Oryzias latipes: one gene and its partners. The protein of the gene in region 1 binds, or shares a complex with, the protein of each later gene. Links are inferred from orthologs where the notes say so. Each region holds a gene or a part of one and is shown on either strand. Other genes may lie near its edges.

Evidence for each region.
Region 2: the proteins of cdk4 (region 1) and cyclin-dependent kinase inhibitor 1-like are in contact, whole or in part, in a crystal structure (PDB 6P8H), measured with the Homo sapiens proteins. The link is inferred for Oryzias latipes from reciprocal best matches to the Homo sapiens genes CDK4 and CDKN1A. Residues at the interface, in NP_000066.1 of Homo sapiens: Gly18, Thr19, Val20, Tyr21, Lys22, Ala23, Asp25, Val32, Leu34, Ser36, Met75, Asp76, Cys78, Ala79, Thr80, Lys88, Thr90, Val92; in NP_000380.1 of Homo sapiens: Met38, Cys41, Ile42, Ala45, Arg48, Trp49, Phe51, Phe53, Val54, Glu56, Asp62, Phe63, Ala64, Trp65, Glu66, Arg67.
Region 3: the proteins of cdk4 (region 1) and cdkn1b are in contact, whole or in part, in a crystal structure (PDB 6P8F), measured with the Homo sapiens proteins. The link is inferred for Oryzias latipes from reciprocal best matches to the Homo sapiens genes CDK4 and CDKN1B. Residues at the interface, in NP_000066.1 of Homo sapiens: Gly18, Thr19, Val20, Tyr21, Lys22, Ala23, Arg24, Asp25, Pro26, His27, Ser28, His30, Val32, Leu34, Ser36, Met75, Asp76, Cys78, Ala79, Thr80, Ser81, Lys88, Thr90, Val92; in NP_004055.1 of Homo sapiens: Glu53, Ser56, Lys59, Trp60, Phe62, Phe64, Gln65, His67, Lys68, Pro69, Lys73, Tyr74, Glu75, Trp76, Gln77, Glu78, Val79.

Annotation. Positions count from the first base shown.
Region 1 is NC_019863.2:27,221,976-27,226,352, forward strand, and holds the start of cdk4 (cyclin-dependent kinase 4), read left to right. Parts: upstream 1-1,497; 5' UTR 1,498-1,722; intron 1,723-3,429; 5' UTR 3,430-3,436; coding exon 3,437-3,654; intron 3,655-3,730; coding exon 3,731-3,866; intron 3,867-3,961; coding exon 3,962-4,129; intron 4,130-4,377.
Region 2 is NC_019863.2:2,308,631-2,311,511, reverse strand, and holds cyclin-dependent kinase inhibitor 1-like, read left to right. Parts: upstream 1-1,253; 5' UTR 1,254-1,257; coding exon of another isoform or gene 1,258-1,266; coding exon 1,267-1,681; intron 1,682-2,133; coding exon 2,134-2,189; 3' UTR 2,190-2,234; downstream 2,235-2,881. UniProt on the Homo sapiens protein: Plays an important role in controlling cell cycle progression and DNA damage-induced G2 arrest. Involved in p53/TP53 mediated inhibition of cellular proliferation in response to DNA damage.
Region 3 is NC_019864.2:11,436,128-11,440,468, forward strand, and holds the start of cdkn1b (cyclin-dependent kinase inhibitor 1B), read left to right. Parts: upstream 1-1,489; 5' UTR 1,490-1,810; coding exon 1,811-2,237; intron 2,238-2,439; coding exon 2,440-2,555; 3' UTR 2,556-2,568; intron 2,569-3,358; 3' UTR 3,359-4,341. Other genes in the region: yars2 (tyrosine--tRNA ligase, mitochondrial), read left to right, coding at 173-332. UniProt on the Homo sapiens protein: Important regulator of cell cycle progression. Inhibits the kinase activity of CDK2 bound to cyclin A, but has little inhibitory activity on CDK2 bound to SPDYA. Involved in G1 arrest. Potent inhibitor of cyclin E- and cyclin A-CDK2 complexes.

The DNA of each region.
Region 1 (4,377 bases):
AAAACCCAGTTGTTGTATTTTTCCTGCCTCCAGTGAAGAGCATCCCCTCTTTGGTTCTGCAGCTGTGTAGCACACTGTAAATGGACACACATGGGACATTTATGCCCTTGAGGGTCACTATGATTCCTCCAGAGACAGGGGACAGATCAAACTTGATGGCACTTCTTTTACCAGATCTTACAAAAGTGGCTTAAAGACAGACAACACTGGGTAATATAATAACTACTCCTTTCTGTATATTTTTATTTTTATGACATTATTTTTTTTAATGACATTTTTACTAATTTGAAAAATCAAAATTGAGGAAACTCTTATTTGTGAGTTTAAATATTTTACGATGTAAGTTAGTGAACTTTTAATAAGTTCTGGCTTGAGGTCTAATCTCTTATCTTTTAAACATGCAAAACTGGCATTTTATAGTATTGAATTTACCACATAATGTTGCATTAAATTTATTTTGAACAGAGTTAAATGTTTTATACCTTGAGGGTGTATTTTATTTGTTTGTTTGTTTTTAAAATAGGACAAAATTTTGACCAATTTTGTCTCATTTTGCAATGAATAAATTTAAAGTAAGCTTTTATGGTAACATTAATGAACAACTAAAAACTATGCTGGTATCAACTCTCAAGAAAATATTTAAACTGATGTGCATATATTTTTAAAAATCATGTTTTTACAACACATTTAGCTTTTTATTTAACCCGTTATTTACAAATAAATCATTAATGTTAACATACTAATCTTTACAATACATTCATGAAAAAGAAGGCAGCATACCGTAGGATCAAAATAATTAGAAAACCACATTGTGGACGTCATTAAAATGTTGACATTCACTTAATTTGAAAATCCAAATCACTGAATTAAATAATTTTTTAGAGATTGAGATTTTTAATTTCAACTATTTGTATAAAAGGTTTTTTTTTAACAATGTAAATATTTTCTTTCAACATATTTAATTACATTCATTTTCTAATTCTTTTTTAACATTGATCTATTCAGTTCTCTAAACAAAACCACAGTTTTAACTGTGGTGTAAACAACCACAATGATAGTTTGCAGTTGTGTAAGTCAATGGAGTGAAAAAAAATAAAACACTTCCAGTGAAGATACTCTAGTTTATTGACTTAATTTCTGGTTGAAGAATAGAAAAGTTAGGTATCTTATAAAAAACCCAATCAACCATGATTTGATTATTGAATTACCTAATTACATTGCCTTAAAATGAAATATATGTATTAAAAACCTCTATAATAAGATATAGGCTTTCCAAGTTTATAACATTTTTGTCCATTTCTTTTTTATTTAGTGTAAACAGTAAATCACTGTTTTCTCCCTCTTATGTGAAGCAAGTGGGGTCGTTTTCCCCCCTTTTTTAAATAAAACGGCTTAACAAAAAATAGGTCGCACGAATTTGTGGCTTTTGATAACAAAAAGCTTTTTTTGTTTTTTTCTTCAAATGGTTTGTGGTAAAAACTTAAGCTCCGCCCCCTGAGAAGCTAAAGCAACAGGAAGATAACCGAAAACGAGCGCAGGCTGGAAGGAAAGCGGCGGAGGCCGAAATCTTTTCCACATCAAAGTCGCTGTTCGGCCGTAAACTTCAGCCTGGACTCGACCTGCCACCTCTGACCCGTTCTGCTCCAGATAAACGTGGCAGATCAACGAGCATGCTCGAACTAAAGTGAGCTCTCTTGCCCTTAAAGAAAAAAAACGGCCGAGGTAAGCTTTTTTTATGTGTGACCTGTCGAATACACAAACCTGCGGAGGAGTATGGTTTTGCCGCGTTACGCTTTTATGTTGAACAGATGTGAAAAGTTAAAAGGCGGTGATGTGTCTCCTCCGCCGCTGACTATAGTCCCCCGCTTTTTCTTCCGCCACGTTCAGACCAATGATCAGACACGTGTGTGTGCGTGTGTGAGCTAGAAAAGTGCATGTGGACTGTTTCTGCTGCATTTTCTTGCTCTAAATTAACAAAGGACTGCCACAGAGGAGCACCACGTGTCTGCCCCGGCCTACTGATTTCACATGAACATCCGCCCACTGCTTTGGAGTCACCGGCCTGCTTCTCGCTTGATAAGGCGGGGAATGAATGAGACATGGAGGGCGAACGTCCGGCTTTGCCTATCTGATAATCGATACATTTTTCTGTGATCACGAGCTGCTGTCATGCGCAAACTGGTTCAAGAAGATCCCCTCAAACAACGGCTGTTGGGAGTTTCACCTAGTTTATACTCTGGACTCACTGTGTCTCTCCCAAAACACAGAAATGATTGTTTTAGTTAAAAATTTATAGATTTGTGAATTTTATTTCTTTTCTATTTATTGTATGTTGTTTGATTTATAAAAATAAGTTTTTACATAATTCCATGTACTCTAATCTGGAATAGTATATATATTCATTTCCAAAAAAATTACCAAAAAGCATTTTCCCATCATTTAGGATAAACCAAGTTAAAGAAAAATGCTCCACTGTGTTGGTGCTTTATGCAAAAGTCTCTCAAAAATGTGCTTTTAATGTGTATAAATTGATCTTTTTGCGGCTCTTTTGTCCTCTGGTTTCTATGCTGTAAACAAACAGCAGAGGCAGAAAAACTTGCTGCAGGAAAACGAAACACTAAACGCACAGGAGAAGCTCAGGAAAGTTTTGACACAAAGTGACACAAATGTCACATGTCACTCTGGGGAAGGGATCAATCCAGCCAGGCATCATTGTCAAACCATTCCTTATGTGCAGAGAGAGATTCCTGATTTAAAAACACTAAAGAGCCACTCCAATCATCATTTGATCTATTTTAAAAGCGTTCCCAGTGATCTTTTAATGTTGTGTAATTTTCTAGGACATAGTTTCTGCAGAGCAGATGGAGTTACGGTAATCAAAATTTTTCCTCTGAGTTGTGTTGAGCAAGCCTGCCCTGACTTCCCATCATCCCTTTGTCTGCATTCTGTCTTGCTAGCTTACAGTCCCTCACAACCGCAAGCAGCACAAATAAATGGTGATCATTATTGGAGTTACCCGGCCATATAGCTTTGAGCCAGATACTAGCTCAGACGAGGAAAACGAAGATGGATCTAGTCATCTGCGAGTGGATGTATCTGCATGGACAGAAACAGGGAGCTTGAGGCCCGCCGATTGTATTTTGTATACAAGTAAAAACTTTTTCTAACAGCAGTTTTTGGTCTGCTCCTGATTCACTATGATTTGAAAAAAGAAGAAGTAGTAAAGCAGTTTTAATTTCAATTTTCCTAATATATGTCCTCCAACATGAGAAGAAAATGCTACCAAAACATGTCAAACAACCAGAAACGCTGTTTTCTTTTGGAGTGGTTCTTTTAAAGACTTTTTCCCTCAGTAAATCCCTCAAAAGTGCTGCTCTGGAGTTTGAGGTGTCTGTATAAATGTGAGATGACCCCAGTCTCGTCTCCCAGTCTGAGCATGGCGCAGTGCACCGGTCTGCAGTACGAGCCGGTGGCAGAGATCGGTGGTGGCGCATACGGGACCGTCTACAAGGCTCGCGACATCGAGAGTGGCAAGTTCGTCGCCCTGAAGAACGTGCGCGTCCAGACTGACCAAAATGGCCTCCCGGTGTCCACGGTCAGAGAGGTGGCGCTGTTGAAGCGCCTAGAGCAGTTTGACCACCCCAATGTGGTCAGGTAGGAGAGTTATCACAGGTTTTGTCTCAAATGTTGCCCCCCCTCCACCTCATCAGTGCTTGCTACTTTCATCCAGGCTTATGGATGTGTGTGCCACCAAGAGATCCGACCAGGAAACCAAAGTCACTCTGGTGTTTGAGCATGTGGACCAAGACCTGAAAACGTATCTAGAGAGAGCTCCAGCTCCAGGGTTGTCACCAGAGCGCGTGAAAGTGAGTCCCTGAAGAAAAGAATAAAAACTGATGGCAGCTACTGTTTGGAACTGATTCTCTTTCTTTTTTTGTGTGAAATATTTCTCTGTCTTCAGGACTTGATGAAGCAGTTGCTGTCTGGCCTCTCCTTCCTCCACTCAAACCGCGTGATGCACAGAGACCTGAAACCCGAGAACATTCTGGTGACCAGCCAGGGCCAGGTCAAACTAGCAGACTTTGGCTTAGCGAGGATATACAGCTGCCACATGGCCCTCACTCCTGTGGTAAGATCTGCTGTGTGCTCACGTCTTGATCATCAGCAGCGGTTTGGTTAATGTTGTTTTTTTGAACAATCGCTTTGGAGATGATTATTTCATTTGTTTTTGCTGTCTGTTTTGGCTTCTTTTCTTGGAATAAATCATTTTCAGTTACGACACAACCCTGACCGTTTAACACCAGAATGGTGTCGCTGGCAACACCTAAATAACTTGCGTTTTTTACATACCATAACTATTTGATAACTCACACAATA
Region 2 (2,881 bases), about 25 Mb from region 1:
TTTGAGCAGTCTAGGTCCAGCAGTTTTTGAACCGGACCCCATCTAAGGAGATCTTAGTGCAAAAAAAACAGTGGAATGCTCCTTTAGTGCACTCGCGAATCGGAAGCTGTGAATCGGATGCTAACTTCAGCGTCGTTGATCCAACATTCTGGTTATATGAATTAAAAAAGTTTCCTGGTAACTTATTAAATCAAAAAAAAGTTTTCCAGAAGTCCTATCTAGGGTGTTTTGATGCGCGCGCGCGTCCTCCGCGTGAGTACGGCGGTGACAGCCCCGTTTGAATGGGGGACACGTGCTCCAGGTTCACGTGGAGCCTCGTAGTAACCGAACGGGGCTGGTCCAAACCCGGATTCATACTCTCCCGCCATGGCCTGAACGCCCGCCCCGATGGGAGTCGGCCGCGCCCCCAGTGACCCCGCCCCGAAGAGACAACAGAAGCTTTATGTCGGTCTATGACGTCATGAAAAGTCTGGGTTACTCTGCTAGATCACCGTTCCAGCCTCAATGGAAGAATCAAAACATTCAAAAATAAGATATTTAATGTCAATATCCATCAGTCTGAGCTTTAAGAACAGCGGGATTATAATGTGGAGAAACCTAAATATTAATTTAAACATTATCACTAAAGAACTGGAAATAGTTTTAAACCAGATAAAGGAAAATATTCATATTTTTGGTATAAATTGTTTTCTAAAGTGTTTTTTAAAACAAAAAAAAAACAGGAACAACCATTTTTAATTTATGTATTATAATAAAATCATATCTAACAAGCTGCTGGGGGTTTGTTTGCTGTCTATCCTCATTTTCTGCTCTCTTTAAAAAAAAAACAACAAGCTTTACTGTGGACTATTTTGTCCTCCTGGATAACCAGCCTGGCCTGGGATGGACTTCCTTTTTTCCTAAAAAGGAAAATGTCCTGTTCAGGGTGATGCGGTCTGTCATGCAGACTGAGGTGGAAGGACACCTCTGGTGGTGGATCTGTCATTGCCACTCTGCCCCCTAGTGGCGGCTCTGTGTTGTCGGCCTGTCAGATTATGTCCAGGCATGTACCGATGATTCAGCCTCTCCTAAGAGGGAGGGAGGAGAGGAGAGGCACAGCTCTGCTTTTCTCTGATGGTCTGTAGAGTGAACAGTCATGGTGAGCTCGGAACTTTTTACACTTTGGGTTTTTCTTTGACTCTTTTACTGCTTTACATGATCCATCTCATCATCATATGACATCTGAGATCTAACCAGGAGTGTTCTGTGTTCAAACAGTGCAGAACCATGGCTGCTCCAAAGCGGATTCCCGCCGCTCCCAGGAGGCCCGCGAGGCGAAACCTGTTTGGCCCGGTGGACCGGGAGCAGCTTCAGCTGGAGTACCAGGCCGCCCTGCGGAAAGACCTGGACGAAGCGTCCCTTCGCTGGGGCTTCGACTTCCGCTCCGACAAGCCCCTGGAGGGCAGCCACTTCCTGTGGGAGAGCGTCCCGGGGGCCGGAGTGCCGCTGCTGTACCGCTGTCAGGATGCTGGACGGGTCCAGAAGACGGCGGAGACCAGGACCCCCCCCAAGAGACGAAGATCTGAGCTGCCGCAGAGGGAGAAGGAGAACATCCCACTGACAGAGAACATCTTCAACGTGGAGAAAACACCAGAGAAGGAGGAGAAGGCCGGGATGAAGAGGAAACAGACAAACATCACAGGTGCTTTCATTTGTTTTGAATCGTGTTCTTATGACGCTTTATTGACGATGGAGGACATTTATAAAGAAAAGCTTAGTATTTAATTGTTCAAAGCAGATAAAAAATGTTAGAAAAAGAGAGTATCTGCATTCATTTACAGACAAATAGGTCCAAAAAACTTTTTTAGTCCCTCGTCTGAGCTAGAAGAGTAATGTGAGGGGCTGTAAGCCAGCTAGAGAGGGTACAAATAGATGGATAATGGGAGGTAGGGGCGGGGTTACTCTGAGCTAATGCCCCGCCCACATCTCAGAGGTGACGACAAGATTATTTCATTTTGGCTAAAAAAGGCATAATCGTAATCAAAAGACGACAGGGAAGGCTTTTCTCAAAATATGATGGGAGTGGAACGTTCAGCTGCGTCTGTGTCGTTGCACCGATTCCCCCTGAGCTCAGTGTCGCTTTCATCCCTGCAGATTTCTACCAAGCTAAACGACGAATGGTCTGGATGCCGCGGAAATCGGGCGAGTGACGGAGGAGCGCACACGCCACGCCCCACTCAGAAGCCACGCCCTCCGCAGGAGTCCGTACCTGTGAACTCGGGAGGGGTTCAGCTACATTTCACTGCTCAGTTAATTAGGCTACTGTATGTGGGGGGGGATCGGTGCCTTTCCCTGGGCTAAGAAGGGGACATTTGAGCAGAGAAGATTAACGGTAATCCACGGAATCAGTGGATTTATCCTCATTTGGATCAAGCGGTTGCCAAAGTGATGACAGACATTTTCGCCGCTGTACATTCCACATCTCGGCTCCCACCCACAGGAGAGGAGGAAGATGTACAGCATGTGTTAAAATCACAATGTCCCCCCTTTTTTTATGCTGAAGTGAAGAGTTTTATATGAACTATTGGGAAAAAGAGATTCAACGTCTCCAAGTCTAGAGACGCTCTGCTTCCATCACGAACCACAAACCTGCATTTCCCTTCATGTCCTGTCTCTTATTCGTCAAATTCATCTGCTGCTCTGTCCTGACGTGTGAATGGCTCTGGATTATGAATGTTCAGTGTGTAGCAATTTATCTCTTTGGAGCATTAACCCCTTGTGCTATGTTGTTGGGTCAAAATGACCCCACCCTTACATTGACGTGTTATCCCTACCATGAGAAATGTAGATAAAGGTGGAGAGGATTTCATGTAAACATTGAAAAAAAAGGTTCAGCTCACTG
Region 3 (4,341 bases), on another chromosome or scaffold:
GTGTTCACACATTTCCACCAAACCTTTTTTTCCCCTAGATGTTGTCGGAGGAATCAAATCCACTAAATGTTGAAATACACAAAGATTTCTATCCTGCTGCTTTGGGTTTGGTTGAAAACACTTGAAATGAATGGGATTTGGATCCTGACTGAGCCGTCGTGTTCGCTTGCAGGTACCAGATGGTTTCAGACGGAGCCGTGTGGATCAACCACACACGGGCGGACAAACCGGAGCAGGTTCTCGTCCCCAAACTCCACGTCCTGTCCAACGGACTCACTCTGCTCAGAGTGGGCAAGAGGAACTACTACATCATCAAGTGGCTCGGTCTTTGAGGCTGCACCGCCCACCGCAGTGCCTGTACGCCGTAAAGGACTTACAGGCAAGGTAGGCGACTAAAGCAGACTGTAGCGGACTCATAATGGTGACTCTGTAAGTCCATGTGGCCTTTGTTAAAAATGTAATCGTACAGACAACTTTAGTATTTAAAGGTATTAAAAGATTTGTGCTTCCAGAGTTGTGTGTTAGATGAAGCTCTAGGGGGCGCTGTTGGCTTGACAGTGGTTGAGTGAACACTGCTGCACCTCCTATCCTGCTCTGACCCTTTGAGTAAATAATTGCTCACAGCTAAATTAGATTGCATCATTTCTGTCAAAAGGCTTTTGGTTCTATTTAAAGACGACTGCGCCACTTTCAATTTAAGCATCAAGCTGCCCTCTATTCTCATTTAGGGGTGTTTATTTTTTTTTGCATGTGAATAAAAAGTAAAAACTAAGAAGCTTTATGATAAATCTGGAAAAAAACAGTTGACTTTAGGATAGCAGAAATTTATTTTCATCTTTATATGTTATTACTTCATATATAAATATTTTCAGTCAATAATTCCGATATATGTACAGATTTTGTTACGGTAAGAAAATTTTTTAGAATTAAAATGTTTATTAGGCTTTTACTAAATCAGCTCAGTTTGGGGTCCTCTTACTGGACTTTATCTCCATTTAGGACCACAGGTTCATTTATTAGTGTCCATTGAAAGAATATGATGCAACAATTTCAGTTTTGTTTTGGATTTTACTCCATTTTAATTGTATTTATTAATTTTACTGTACATCCAAAATGTTTAAAATAAATACTGAATATGTGTGTTTTAGAACATATTGGCACTATTTGTATGGTTGCAATCCAATTTTTTTCTTCAAATTTAGATGTCTTAAAATGTTTAATCCATTTTACTTTTTGAAACTTGTACATTAAGTTACATCAAATGTGTGAACTTATTTACTTTGTAAAAAAAATAAAAAAGGTAAGTAATATGTTTAGAACAGCATGCCTTATGCAATTATTCGGTCTACCTTAAATAAAGTGGGCGGGTCTAAAGAGCTCCATCCAATGAGTGCGCTTCTTGGGTTTTAAATGGCTCCGTATGTCAATCATGTGTAACCCTCCTCCCCCTCCCTCCAAAGTCAACCTCCCCTCTCAATCCCCACTACATGTCTCAATCGCCATATTGGGTACCGAGAGGTTCGCCTCCGCTTCCCGCTGTACGGAGCGACGTTGACAGCGAGCTTTGGTTCGTTCTCCCGTCGTTTGGATGATTGGCGTAAGCCGTCTTCGGCTCAGGAAATCGCAGCCGTGTTTGCCTCCAGCTCGACGTGCGCATGGTCGTTTCACGCCTGTTTTGGATCTTTCCCCGTGACTAGGAGGACATACCTTTTTTTTCTTTTCTTTTTTCTTCTTGAGGTGTGTTTTTCGCCTGAAAACTGGACGCTCCCGGCTGCTTGAAATTTTTACCTTTTTTCCGGGGGGCTTAACCATGTCTAACGTTCGACTTTCGAGCGGGAGCCCGACTTTGGAGAGGACGGAGCCCCGGGTGTCGGAACACCCGAAGCCGTCAGCCTGCAGGAGCCTCTTCGGCTCGGTGGACCACGAAGAGTTAAAGAGGGATTTAAATGTACATTTGCGGGAGTTTGAAGAGGCTGCCTCCGCCAAGTGGGGCTTCGACTTCGCGACTGACACACCGCTGCCCAACAGCAGGCTGGAGTGGGAGCTGGTGAACGCCAGAGACCTGCCGAGTTTCTACACCCGCCTGCCGCGGCGAGAACGAGGCGTTTGCCCCGGGAATAACAATGTGGATCTAAACGGGAATCATGACTGTGTCGGGACAGTTCCCAGCCGCTCTGACGCTCAGATGGAGTGCACGGAGCAGTGCGGCGGGCTGAGGAAGAGACCTGCGTGTCACGGTATGACATTAGCATCAAACGACCCGTTGCTGTGTAACAGATCGCCGGGCGGCAGCTTTGTGCTCGCGGTACTGGTATGCGGGATGAGGGGGTCGTAAAGCGGGGGAAACTGCCGTAAAATCCCAGAGAACATTGAGCACCCCGACCATTTTTTTCTCTCTGTAATATATAGTTTATTTTACTCATTTATTTATTTTTGCAGACCCTTCGGCCCCAAGTAAGAAGTCTCACACCAGCCCGGAGGAGGTTAGCTGTCCGAGCCTGAGCCAGTCTGCAGAACACACACCCAGAAAGACCAGCCCCAAGAGACCAACGTGAGCACGGCGACACGGTGAGCGAACCACTTCAATTTAAAAAAAACTGTTAACCTCGAATTTAAAAAAAAAAAAAGATATTAAATTTTACATCATTTTTTTTTTTATTTGTATTGACGCATTCTAGCGCAAAAAAGTGAAGTCTGTTTATTAAACCAAGAGGATTTATATGACACGCCAATAAAGAATTTTTAAAAAAAAAAGTTTTTTCCTCCTTGCGGCCGATGTTCGTCTGCTGAACTGTAAACAACAAGCTGAACAACAGTGTAGTAGTAACACGTCAGCAGCCAGTGGCCTCCGCGCGGACGGGAAGGGGCAGGTCTCTGAGCGCGCGCGCGCAGAAACACACGCAGACATGTACACTCCCTGCTGCAGAGGAGAGTACGAGAGTTCTGCAGGTCTACTATGACCCACAAGAGAGAAGGAGCACAGAAACCTGCTCTAAGCTGTCAGGTGTGAACCTTTAAAGGTTGTGGCAAAAAAAGTCAAGGTTAAATTAGCGGAACTTTGACTTCGATTTATCTTTAAGTAAAAAAAAATCCCATGTTCATTTTCGTCTCTTCTTAGTAAAAATAAAAGTTAACAGAACTGAAAAAATTGCACGTTTTTGTAAATGGTATGCAGCCGAGCTTTATTTGAGTTGATAGTTTTGTTTTGTTTTTGGAAATGACTAGTTTCTTCTTTTTTTTCAGTCATACCTCAGAACACTGTCAATACTTTAGCAGTAGTAGTTGCATCTCCTAAAAGAAAAAAAAGTACTAACCTTTCAACCTCTTTGTTTTTGTCTTTTGTTCTGATCTCCAACAGAGCTCAAGATGTGCCCCTCCCAGTTTTTTTTTCTCTGTACGAGTGTGTTTGCGTATGCGTGCATGTGTTTTTTTTTGTTTTTTTGTTTTTAAGACTGCGTTGATCTTTTTTTTTTTTTTTTAATTATTCTTTCCTTTTTTTGGACGAGGATCTACACAGCATCAGAAACATATCAGCTCTCCTGAGGACGGGGGAGGACGCTGTTGAAGCACTGAAGAGAAACACTAAAGTTTGTGGCACTCATTGAAATGTTACTGCCTCTAACAGCAGTCCATGTAGCAGCGTGCAATTAGGTTTGATTTTTTTCTTTTTTTAACTACCTGTGTGTAAATAATTTAATAAATAAATATATATGTTTTCTATGTAGCACATAAAAACATTGATTTTTTTTTTTTTTTAATCCTTTGTGTAAAAGAGGTGTGAATTTTGATTTGACTTGAAGTGTTCGGTTTGAAACATGTTTCCAAAATGCTGTTCTGTTTGCATTTTATTATTATTATTAATATTTTTGAAAGGCACTGTGGTGTTGACCCAGTCCATAAATGCTACATTTAAAAAAAAAGAAAGAAAATCATGGTTTTAGTTTCTCAACAGTGTGCCTTTATGCCGTCATCTTCCTAACTCAACAGCAAGGAATGGTACAAATGTAGCTCATCTGCCTAATGAACGTGTTTTTCTTTTCTTCCCTTTTTTGTGTTGAGGCCACTTTTTCTTTTTTCTTTTTTTTAAAGATCCACAGGAAATGGCACAGGATGAAATTAAAAATTTCAGCAAGTACCTTTTATTTTCCTTTTTTTTTTTTTAATATTTATTTTAAAATTGGAGTTCTGATGCTTTTATTTTGTAAATGTTTCGATCCCCAGAGTTGTGAGGCACTCATTTTTTTTTTGAAGGACAAAGACCATGCACATGTTTCCAGGCTGTCAAACCTAAGTTAAATGTTTCTCCTGTACCAAATACACACTCGCTTTTATTTGGTTTTC